Drosophila melanogaster: one gene and its partners. The gene in region 3 interacts genetically with the main gene of each other region. Each region holds a gene or a part of one and is shown on either strand. Other genes may lie near its edges.

Evidence for each region.
Region 1: of rictor (region 3) and Cln7, changing one suppresses a phenotype caused by changing the other (phenotypic suppression), as found in Drosophila melanogaster (one study listed by BioGRID).
Region 2: of rictor (region 3) and mora, changing one suppresses a phenotype caused by changing the other (phenotypic suppression), as found in Drosophila melanogaster (one study listed by BioGRID).

The regions. Positions count from the first base shown.
Region 1 is NT_037436.4:7,343,035-7,346,788, reverse strand, and holds the start of Cln7 (Cln7), read left to right. Parts: upstream 1-1,605; 5' UTR 1,606-1,659; intron 1,660-2,404; exon of another isoform or gene 2,405-2,697; intron 2,698-2,843; 5' UTR 2,844-2,929; coding exon 2,930-3,121; intron 3,122-3,178; coding exon 3,179-3,685; intron 3,686-3,745; coding exon 3,746-3,754. Other genes in the region: CG14834 (uncharacterized protein), read left to right, coding at 1-967.
Region 2 is NT_033777.3:24,184,505-24,188,258, forward strand, and holds mora (morgana), read left to right. Parts: upstream 1-1,854; 5' UTR 1,855-1,975; coding exon 1,976-2,036; intron 2,037-2,095; coding exon 2,096-2,646; intron 2,647-2,715; coding exon 2,716-2,910; intron 2,911-2,968; coding exon 2,969-3,226; 3' UTR 3,227-3,281; downstream 3,282-3,754. Other genes in the region: CG5515 (uncharacterized protein), read right to left, coding at 3,299-3,754. UniProt on the Drosophila melanogaster protein: Regulates centrosome duplication and mitotic spindle dynamics. Also involved in controlling the size of dendritic arbors. May act as co-chaperone for Hsp83.
Region 3 is NC_004354.4:19,259,487-19,263,240, reverse strand, and holds the start of rictor (rapamycin-insensitive companion of Tor), read left to right. Parts: upstream 1-2,000; 5' UTR 2,001-2,190; coding exon 2,191-2,254; intron 2,255-3,397; exon of another isoform or gene 3,398-3,496; coding exon of another isoform or gene 3,497-3,524; intron 3,525-3,594; coding exon 3,595-3,754. Other genes in the region: Vav guanine nucleotide exchange factor, read right to left, coding at 1-108, 648-902.

The DNA of each region.
Region 1 (3,754 bases), on a different chromosome or scaffold from region 3:
TGACGACCAATCCGATACTGAGTGCATTCGCACCATGCAGATGAATGCCAAGACGTTGAATCTACCATTCGAAATCGTCATCCAGGGACCGAGCAGCAATCGCTTTGTGCGCAACGCACAGCAGTTCGAGCAGAAGCGAGATCTGGTGGCCAGGAGCGCCAGCACTTCAATGCAGTCGCCTCGAAATCGTCGCTCAAACATAACCATCTACAAGCCCTCCACAAAGTTGGTCATTCAACGTACGGCCAATGGCTTAGAAACGCCATCCAAGGCTTCGGAGCAGATAAGGCACAAGAGGTCCGTCGATCACCTGGAGTGGTTCAATGACTTTGCCAGTTCCTTGGTGCGTCCCTCGCCACTGGGCACTAGAGCCCAGAAGCAGCAGCGTGCATCAGCCAAGCCATCGGCATTCAAGCGTCAGGCTGAGCTGGAGGAGCCGGCTCGTCGGGAACCATGGTTCCTGGAGCAGTCAGCTTCGCGACTGACTCGCCCCGCTCCACTTAAGAAGGATGCACTCTCGCGGAAGAACAAGAAGAGTCCTTTGTTCCGAAAGAGCGCCAAGAGCAAGGCGTCCAAGGAGCAGTCGCGCAAGCAACCGGAGCGAGAGATTCGGCCACTCCGCGATGCCTTGCAGGTGGTGGAGCGGATACCCAAGGTGCTTCAAGATACGGTCAGTCATCTGTCCTCCGATCCACGCACTGGGGATGTCTTTAGCCTGAATATTAGAAACGAGGATGTGCCGCAGAAAAAGGATCGCCAGCCTGAGGATCGTGTGCCACGCAGGCCTAGCGCCACCTTCCGTGGTTTCCGGCGCAATGAGATCATCCCCGAAGCCGTCACCCTGGCTGCCCCAATGGACCTTGCCCCACGAGCTCCACTTCCCGGCCAGCGTCCAGGTGGACTCCTGCTGCCCTGGCTGAGGCAGCGGCGACTGATGCGTTTGCAGCAGGCACAGGGAAATCTGTAGACCCAACATACCCAATTTACTTTCACTTTTATTATTATAATCATTTGTTGTATATTTATAAGGCATTTTGGTCTCTCAAAAATAAATATAAATTTGCACATTATAGTGTTCTGCAGTAGCAGCGAAGATAGAAGCGTTCGAAATTAAAGTATCTGAAGTAGTAAGATCTTTATGTACCTGTAACAATATGAAGGCGTTCTTAAAGATCGTTTTCCAATGAGTCATTATAGTATTCACACACGCAGGTAGAAGTTTGGTAGGTTAGACAGGTTTCTATAGAACTCCATTCTTCAGTTTCCCTATTATTTCAATTGGATCTCGAATCGAATCTCAAAGATACATCTATTCTACTGATGATCTAGTATAATAATGATAATTTGAAGAAGGAGTATTGGTGTTACATGGATTGTGGATTGATAACAAGTTACTATACTATGCTTAGGAATATTTTGCCTGAATAGAAAACCCTTGCGATCTATCTTACAGATGCCATAGATTTCGGAGTATCTAAGTAGCATACTTTCGGGCGCGGGTGCTATCTGCCGTTGGCTCCTCTCTCTCTTCGGGCAGCTCCATCACGCTCTGTGGCGACGCGTCGTCCGATTTGTTGGCAACAGGCGCTGCCGCGTCAGTTCAGTTCAGTCCGTCGCGTTCGTTCATCTCCAGTGGTCGTCGCTGTTCCGCTGCAACAGGTAGTTAAAAAGACATAGCCCGATTGGTAAAAGGTGCATTACCCGCTGGAAGCCCCACAAATAGGATGCGCGCGGTAGGGGGGTGCCCTTGAGTTCTAGATGCACAGAAAGATACATGCACGCAGATACAGATACAGATACAGATATAGCCATTGGCAGAGGGAGAAAAGCGCTTTCTTTGCGTTTGGTTAAATATTACAAAAATCGAGTGAGAGGAAGCGGGAGAGCGAGAGTGAGACAAAGAAAGAGTAATTTAAAAAAAAACAAAGAGTGCATGTTTCCATTTAATTTACATAGTTTTGCTTCAGTGTGTGACGAAAAACAAAATACAACTTAGTAAGCTAAGTAATTTGAAAATCAAAGCAAGGAGTGCAAAGGCAAAGTAGCTTAACGAAAAAAACAATAGGCAGCCAAAGATCAACGGTCGCTATCTCATATCTAGTATCTTGTATCTGAAAGATGTGTGTGTGTGTGTTTGGGTACTTCGAGAACGAGAATCTGGCGCTCAACTAAAAAAAAAAAGAAAAAAAAAAAACCAACTGCATCAATTGGCAATTGGTATAATCAATTAGAAATTGATTTGCGACGGAGTGATCTTCAACCAGTGATGATTTGATTGATGTAGGAAGTGGACAAGTCTGATTGATATGGCTAATCGCTGCACTTGTTGCACTATCGAAAACTAAAGTTATAACAAAATGTTTTTATTTCGTACCCTGTACTGGGGCGAATCAATTTCTTTTGCTCTGATAAATGAAATCATGTAATAAACTGACGTTCTGTACGAACCTTATCATGCCATATAAACAAAAACAATGGCATACTCACAGTGATAGTGGCTCTTACTAAAGAAAAACGACATACAGACACCCGCACATGGCAACGAATAACTACAAACAGCTTTATTTCGGCACCGATTGCCTTTATCTTCCGCAATTTGTGTGATAAGTTCAGCAAACTGTTTTCCATATCTGTGGTTTTTTCGGAGGAGGATAATCACGCGACGTCTGGCAGATAATCCACTCCATCCATATTCAAGTAATTGAAGGCACCGCCGATTAGAGACATACTCTACTCTGAATCATTAATAGTTACAAGACTTTAAAAGCGTGTCTAACAACTGACACATCGATTCACAAAAAGCTCCATAAAGAAAAAAAAAACTCATTCGAATCCATTTACAGAATGACTCAGTGGCGGTGAAATCCAGCAAACACACATCCATCGCAGCCAACCAACCCATCAAACATCACAGCCAAGCAAACCAATTATGGAGTTTGCCCGCCGAGTTTCCGCTCGCTTTGAAACCAAAAGACTGCCGGAGGATGTGGACGATGGCCTGGAGACGCTGGAGGAGTACAAGCAGCGCTGGCGCTCCGTCCGCATCATCTACTTTACGATGTTTCTGATGGCGCTTGGCTTCAGCATCATACTCACAGGCATTTGGCCCTACCTCAACAAGGTGCGTACCCATTTTGGTCACGCTATCCAGCTGCTTTTCAATCTCATCTCTCTTCAGCTAGATCCCGATGCGGGCAAGGAGTTTATGGGACTGATTGTGGCCGCCAATCCGCTGGGACAAATGATCTTCAGTCCGATCTTTGGGTGGTGGGGCAACAAGCTGGGCAAGATTCGTCTGCCACTGCTGCTATCGCTGTCTCTATTCACGCTGGCCAGTGGCATATACTCCTCGCTGGAACTGCGTCCGGACAATGTGAAGTACTGGATGCTCTCCTCGCGGTTCCTCATCGGTGTCAGCTCGGCGAATATTGCCCTGTGCCGCTCCTATTTGTCCGCTGCGACACGAATCAGCGAACGCACACATGCCGTTGCAATGGTTTCGCTGGCACAGGTCCTTGGATTCATCATTGGTCCAACTCTGCAGGCGGCAGTCACACCGCTGGGAGATCAGGGACACGTCTGGCTGTGGGGCAAGATGCACTTCAACATGTACACGGCATCCGGATGGATCAATGTGCTGATGAGCATTGGAAACTTCATGATGTTCCTGCCCGGAGTGTTTGAGGTGAGTGGCCAGGTTACTTGGTTCGCTCTAAAGTGTCATTAAATTTGAACACTCCTTCAGGAGCACAAA
Region 2 (3,754 bases), on a different chromosome or scaffold from region 3:
CCTAATTGCAACATCCCTTCAGCTTTCAGCTGGGAAATTGGCAGCCAATCGGCAATTGGCGATAAGGATTAGTAGCCTAAATAAGTATTGGCAATGGTAGACGGGCATTTGCAGCACGCACATCTTGGGCATCGTCAGTGGCTCTGGAATGCTGCGAATGTTACCGTTGCGGGAAATCTGTACAGCATGACATGACAGCAGTGCCACAATTGCATGTTATTTGGCTCTTGCTCGCGCTCGCCATTGTATGCTAAATTACGTATACGACCGGGCGGCCGGGGCAAAAGACAAAAGCCGAAGCCGAAGTCAAAACGGGCGGTGTTAATTTCCACTGACACTGGCGCTGTTGCGACCACAGTGTCCGCTATATTTATTTATTTATTTATTTATATGTTGCATTTCTGCGATTGTCAAAAGCCAAATGCCAGAATTGCACCGCACCAGAAAAAGTCCACAATTCTTGGTCGGTTGCACAACAATGGGATCATGGCATGATTCACAGCCGCAGTTAAAGCGACGAATGTGCCTGTGTAGCTGCGGAAAACGCCGACTTTGTCATAATTATACCATAAATATGCTCGCAGAGTATACTAGTTAGGTTTGTAACAGGCAGAATGAGGAGCTATTGATCAGGATCACTGGGCAAGTCGATCTGACCTCCTCCGCCAGACCTCTGTGATCTTGGAAAATATCAAAGCTAGAAAGCTAATTAGTTTTAGAAGATTGTCATGCCCACAATCTTGCCGATTTCTAGGAATATAAAAAAAAAATGTTGCAATATCTTTTTCGTACTCCGACAATCTGAGTAATCGGTATCTTATAGTCGTGAAACTCGACTAAAGCGTTCTCTCTGATTTCATATTTTGAAGTGCGACACAGGAACAGAGCCAGGCTAACGTGTTGATAACCTTGTTGACCACAAGAATTTCCAGCGAAACGACAGTTTCAACGACTGCACTGAGAAAAAATTATATCGATTTCAAAACGAGAGGTTAATGCTTCAAAATATTTGAAATATTCCTTGTTACTATTGAAATAAAATGTAAAATTTATTAGATTGATGAATTTGAATACACTTTTCGTTCGAAGTGAGAGAAATTTTTGTAGTCAATGGGGCAGTTCATTTTTTCTTCTTGTGCGCAAATATATTTTATGCCCTGACACCGCGGGCAATAAATGAAAATGAAACCGCGAAAACGTGTGTCTATGACTGAGTGCGACAAATAAACAATCATGCAAGGCGGAGACATTACCCGAGGCCTCCGGGAACCAGTTAGAAGCCGCCAGAGACCAGCACTCCAGTATCCCGCCCATTCTTTGATCTAATTTGAAAATGTCGCTTGGCAGTTCCGTTCGAATATCACGTAGCCCAAACACAGTCGGTTGCTGACCTTCAGGTGATTTGCAAATAATGGTTTTCAGTTCAATTCCGTCTTGCAATTAGCAAATTCTATAAAGACCGCATTGACCGGCCAAACAGTGGCAGCAATTAACATAATTCCAAATTTACTATCACTTTTAATTGCTCTCCATTCGCGACTGTTGGCCTTTCCAAAGCCACCAGCGATGATCGGTGGGCAAAAAAGCAGCCATTTGTCACATGTTTCAAGGTATTTAAATCACTGGTTACGTTTATACTATAAGAAGTGCACTCATTTTTCAACGAACACATATTTAACCAGGAAAAAGTTCGAAGAGTTACAAATGCAAATAAGTTCAATTGGAATAGTATACTAATACTATTATTACGCACAATTTAAAATGAAAATAAGGTTAACAATCATTTTGAATTTTCGCGCTAGCCCCCGCAGTGTGACCATCACTCACTAACGCCATGATATCGGTGCCCCTGCTGATGGTAAAAACGTATGGAACACATCTGCTTATAGAGGAATATTCTCGATTTTAAGCGAAATTTGTACACATTTAGTTAAACCAAAACATACATAATTAGTTCAACCGAAACTTAATAATCATGGAACAATGCTATAACAGAGGCTGTGGCCAACTCTTCGATCCGCAGACCAACAATGATGGTAAGCAGCCGGCAATGCACATTCCTGCTGAGTGCTTAACCCCCCGTAATCCCGCCCAGAATCTTGTCGGCACCATCCGGGTGAACCTTTCTTCCACGACGCCTATAAGGGTTGGTCCTGCTGCAACAAGAAGTCGGTCGACTTCACCGAGTTCCTCAACATCAAGGGCTGCACCTTGGCAAAGCACTCGAATGTGAAGCCACCAGAGCCGGAGAAACCTGTTAAAGATGAGTCCGACAAGGATGAGGTAATTGAGGTGCGGGCACCCATCCGGGAAGCCCTGCCGCGTCCGCCCATTGATTCGCCGCTAACCGTTATACAGCCCACCGTGGCTCCTGCCCTGAAAGACATGGTTTTTGCAGTCAAAACGCCGGCTGCTCAAAAGTCCAGCGACGCCATTGAGGTGGGAACCACTTGCAAGAATAACGGCTGCACCTACTCCTTTACGGGTAACAGCAGCGACTTTGGCGAGTGCACCTACCATCCGGGCGTGCCAATCTTTCACGAGGGCATGAAATTCTGGTCCTGCTGCCAGAAACGAACCTCGGACTTTTCCCAGTTTATGGCGCAAAAGGGCTGTACCTACGGTGAGCACAAATGGGTCAAGGAGGTGAGTGCCCTAAAAAGCAAAGAGACTTGGAACACACAAGAAGAATTTTTAAAAACTCCCCTATTATAGAACGACGACAAAAAGGTTGTGCAATGTCGCTACGACTGGCACCAGACGGCCACCAATGTGGTGATGGCCATTTATGCTAAAAAATACGATTACAGTCAGAGCGTGATAGAGCTGAACCCCATCAGGCTGCACGTCAACCTGGTATTTCCCGAGCAGGACAACGCCAGGTTTGACCTGGACCTGGAATTGCGCGGAGTAAGTCCCAAGTCCAACTGAATTTCATGGTAAACAGACTAATCGTATCCCCTTGCAGATTGTGAATGTGAGCAATGCAAGCGCGCATATGTATGGCACCAAAGTGGAGATTAAACTGCCCAAGCTGGAGCCCGGCTCTTGGTCCAACCTAAATTTTCCCAACAAGAAACTGCCAGTGGTTAAGAAAAGCCAGGTGGAAGAGAAGAAAAAGCAGGAGGAGAGCGATGAGGAGTTCTTCGACCTGGATGACATTAAAGCGGAGACCAGTTTCCGTCTTTCCGAAATGAGCATGCAAAGCCCAAACAACTTAGATTAATAAAGAAGTTGGCATTTAATGTTATATAAAATACACGAATTTGCCTTTGAGTAGTTTGACACAGTTTGTAGCTTAATCGTCGTCGTCGTCCGCCCCGGGCACCCAATCCTCATCATCATCGTCATCCAAATCCAATTCGCCAATATCCTGGAACAGCGTCTCATCGATTTTGACATTTTCAATGTTTTCACCCGCCTCCAGGAGGAACTTGATATCCGAATCGTTGAGCGTGTTGTCGCACATAAAGAGTTCGCGTCCGGTCTGCTTCTTGGACACATTGTTCTTCTCCCGCTTGGCGGCAATGCCGGTGCTCTCCTCGAATTCGAGCTTCCATTTGAGGAAGGACTCCACCGTCACACGGGTGCCCTCAAACTTCTTGCGTTCCTCCTCTTCGATTTCCCGCAGCTTCTGCTCTCGCAGTTCCTCCTGGTGGAACTTGTGTTCATCCCACCGCTCGTTCAGCCACTCCTGGGCGCTGCTTACCAGCGAAAAGATCATCTCCATGCCCAGGTTCTCCTCAATTGTCTT
Region 3 (3,754 bases):
GTTGGTCAGGTCGTACAGCATTGTCGGCTCGAAGAGATCGGCGTCCCGGATCCCGAAGTTGTTGTGGCACACGTCCAGGAACAACTTGATGTTCTTGCTGCACAGGAACTGCAATGGATCAATTAAATTCAATTCAATTTAATTACGTGCCATTCTAATTGTATTTGGCATTATATTATATTTCAGGTCACTCTCACTCAAAACAGACGTACTTAAAAATAAAATAATAAATCATATTGTTCAATAATATTTCACTCTAATTTGGCATACTGAACAAAATATGGGATTTCGGAGAATTTATTTCGGCACATTTTAAACACATTTTCGATCGAATTCGTTAAATTATTACAGTAATTTTTCTCTGGAAACGCATTTATTTCATTTTATATATATTTATGTTTATTATTTATTTATTCACACATGCAAATTCGTGCATAAATTTGGCATATTCTATTTCTTTATGAATTTATGATGTTTTGGCCAATTATTGTCACTAATTGTAAGTGATGTTTGTTTTAATGATTTAAATTATTTTTACAGATATACTTCCCCCTATTTCTCTCAGTGTTGCTTGTTTACAAGGTTTAGAGTGTGCCACCCATTCACAATTTGCCAGCAAAGTCACTTGCTTCTCGCATTTCACTCACCTGTGCCATTTGCGGCTTGCGATTGAACTCGCGCGGATCCAAGCTGCTGGGGTCCAGGTGGATGACCAGGTTGCAGAGCAGCACGCCGTCGCGCAGCGTCATCGCCAGGATGCGGATCTCGGCGTCCGGCTGGGCGGCCTTGTGGTCGGGCGGAATGACCTTGCACCTGGTCAGCCAGGCGACGCACTCGCGCCACAGATCCCCGTTCACGCCGGCCACGCCCCCAAAACTGTTGCTGCTACTGCTGCTGGCCATCTCGCAGTGGTTGGGTTGGGTATTACTATATGGATTGGGATTTGGTTTTCGTTTCGGATTTGGAGGAGGGGTTGCGGGTGGGGCGCTGGCGTTGGCGGTGATGGTGTGAAGTGGGGCGCGGGCCCAACTGGCAAGTGTTGGAGGGGGGAGGAGGAGGGTGGGTGGGTGCTACTCGCGTCGCGTTAATGGACACAATTGAGACTCATCAGTTGGCCGTTGCGATTGGATTGGTGAACCCGAGCACAGATACACAGAGCAAAAACGGAAGGCAATGAAGAGCACAACACTAGCCAACACCACACACAACAAAAACAACGATTTCGGGACAATTCGAGCGTAGTGGGGTGTATCGCGTTCGCGAAGGGCTCACCCTGTGCACCGGATACGCGCGAACAGTGCTTGCGGCTGCCGAGTTGCTCAGAAAGTGCTCGCCACTGTGGTTTTAAAACTAATTTACTTTATTGCAAAATATTGCGTTTATCGAAGAGGAAGAGCATACTCGACTTCGATAACAGTCTGGGCGGCCGTGTAACCGCTTGCGGCTCCTTCGAAAATACCAACTGCATGTGTGGTATTTACGATATGTTAATAGCATTGTTACTTTGTGACGAAAATTAATTGTGCACCTCGGTATGCTTTAATATAACAAGTTGATGTAAATTAGTAAGTAGAGTAAATACACATGACATATATTGACTCCAAAAAAAAAGTCACCAAATAATCTTGCAGAAGAATATTAAGTAAATTTTCCCTTACAGTATTTGTTTTAATTTCGTAATTTATAATCATATAAAATAGTTCTACGATAAGGAGAATTCCTATCTGGGGGTAATTCAGCTGTCCTCGAATTTCTCAGGTAATATTTTGAATATTTCCGTTCAATTTTTATAATTAGTGCACAAGAAATTCATTATATTACAGACACTAGCCTTTCAGAGGAAGTAAGCAAGCAAAATTGTATGTCAAATGTAAATGTAAGATGTAAGTGTAAAATGAAATGTTTTTCATTGAAAGTCGCGTAAATATTCCAAATTCTCGTGCCCGCGGTGGCGCTTCGTAGTTGGTTTTTTCTCCTGCGCCGACGACGGTCACTTTAAAGCGGCGAGCAATAAAAAAAATGTAAATTGTGCAGCAAGTGAAATTGAAAAGCAATATATTTAAGTGTGATCTGTGTGTTGTGGTGTGTGGGTGTGTGTTCGACATACAGCTAATAGGCGAGCGGGCGACGGCGCCGCACCCGCCTCGCCACGCCCCCATCGGCGAATCGAAAAAGAGGCGAAGCAACGCGATGGCCTCCCAACATTCCAGTTGGCGTTTTGGCAAGCGGAGCAAATTACAATTACGCATCAAAGGTAATGTAACGAATGTGCTAATTGACATCAAACACGGCGACGGTGGCATCGGCATAATGGCGCAATCACTCCGTTCGACGTTTTGTCTCACATGGCTCGCCCCACCGACCCCCGCCATTCCATTCAGTTTGCATTATTTTGCATTACGGCGAGGCATAAGCATTACAGCAGCAGCTGTTGTTGTTGTTGTTGTTGTTGTGGATCTTGAGCCGACCTCATCCCCAACCCCACCTACCCCTCCAGCAGCCTTCTGTTTATTGGACTTGGCCAATAATTGGTAGCAAAGGGTTCTTTTTTTTGTTGACATTGATGGCAACTAGCAACAACAATAATATGTTGTTGAGGGGGGCGGGAATGAGCACACTGGCAGCATTGCCCATAACGGTAACGATGTAGCAGCGATGCAACAGTGATGTACGCATGTATCGACAGCATGGCATTCTGATCAACATTTCTCCTGATCTCCTCAGTGTTTCCTCCGTTATTTATACATTTGTTGTTGTTCTCGTTTCTATTTTCTATTTAGTTTTTATTTTTATTTATGTATTTTTTGGTTTTATTTTGGTTACTTTTGTTGTTGTTGCTGTTGCCATTTGACCAAATTCTTCGACTACATGTTGGCCGATTATTTATAGAACGGTCGCCACAGCATAGAGAGAGCCCCCAAAAACGATGACGCAGCACAAGCAACAACATAGACATTCACTAAACATCGACCATAACAATAACAGCGATAGCAACAGCAGAAACAACAACAATAACAACAGCCACTACTAGAACTACAAAAACAATAACATACGAAATGCTCAGCTTGGTTTCTTCCATTCATCGTGTCCTTCACTCTTTCGTTCTTCTTCGCTCGTCATGCTCTCTCCTTTCTCTCTCTCTCTCTCTCTGTCGCTCTCCCCCTTTTCCAACCAAATCCATCATGCAAGTACAGTTAGCTGTAACGACGACAACTGCAACAACAACGAAACTGTTATGACGCTGTGTTGTTGTCATTTCACGTGCACAGCCTGCGTCAGCGTCGGCAGAGACAGAGGCAGCGGCTGAGCTGATTAGCTTTCCACGATCCACGATCAATTTCACTTTGATGGCTTTCTAATGCAAGTCGCTGTGTGCATGCATGTGTGCACCTCCTCTTGACCGTAAAAACCCCATGTACTATGATGATTTGAACATGTGCATATCCGAAAAAGCTATTACTTGCAAATAATATTTATGTAATATTCAAGTACATCGATGTGGCCATATTATTCATTCATAAAAGGTTGTTTTAATTAGTAATTAGTGTGTACGGATCTGATAAGAAAAGCAATGAAACTTTTCCTCCATTACAGTTTCGCAGGATCCGGAGGACTTCTACCGCCTGGATCCACAGCGATCGGCCGCCGAAAATGCATTCGAAATATACTCGATGCTCTGTTTGGAGGAGACGCGGGACACGAAGCGCCTGTTTCTGCTCAACGCGCTGGCCTCGCTCTGTTTGGGGGCCCGAAA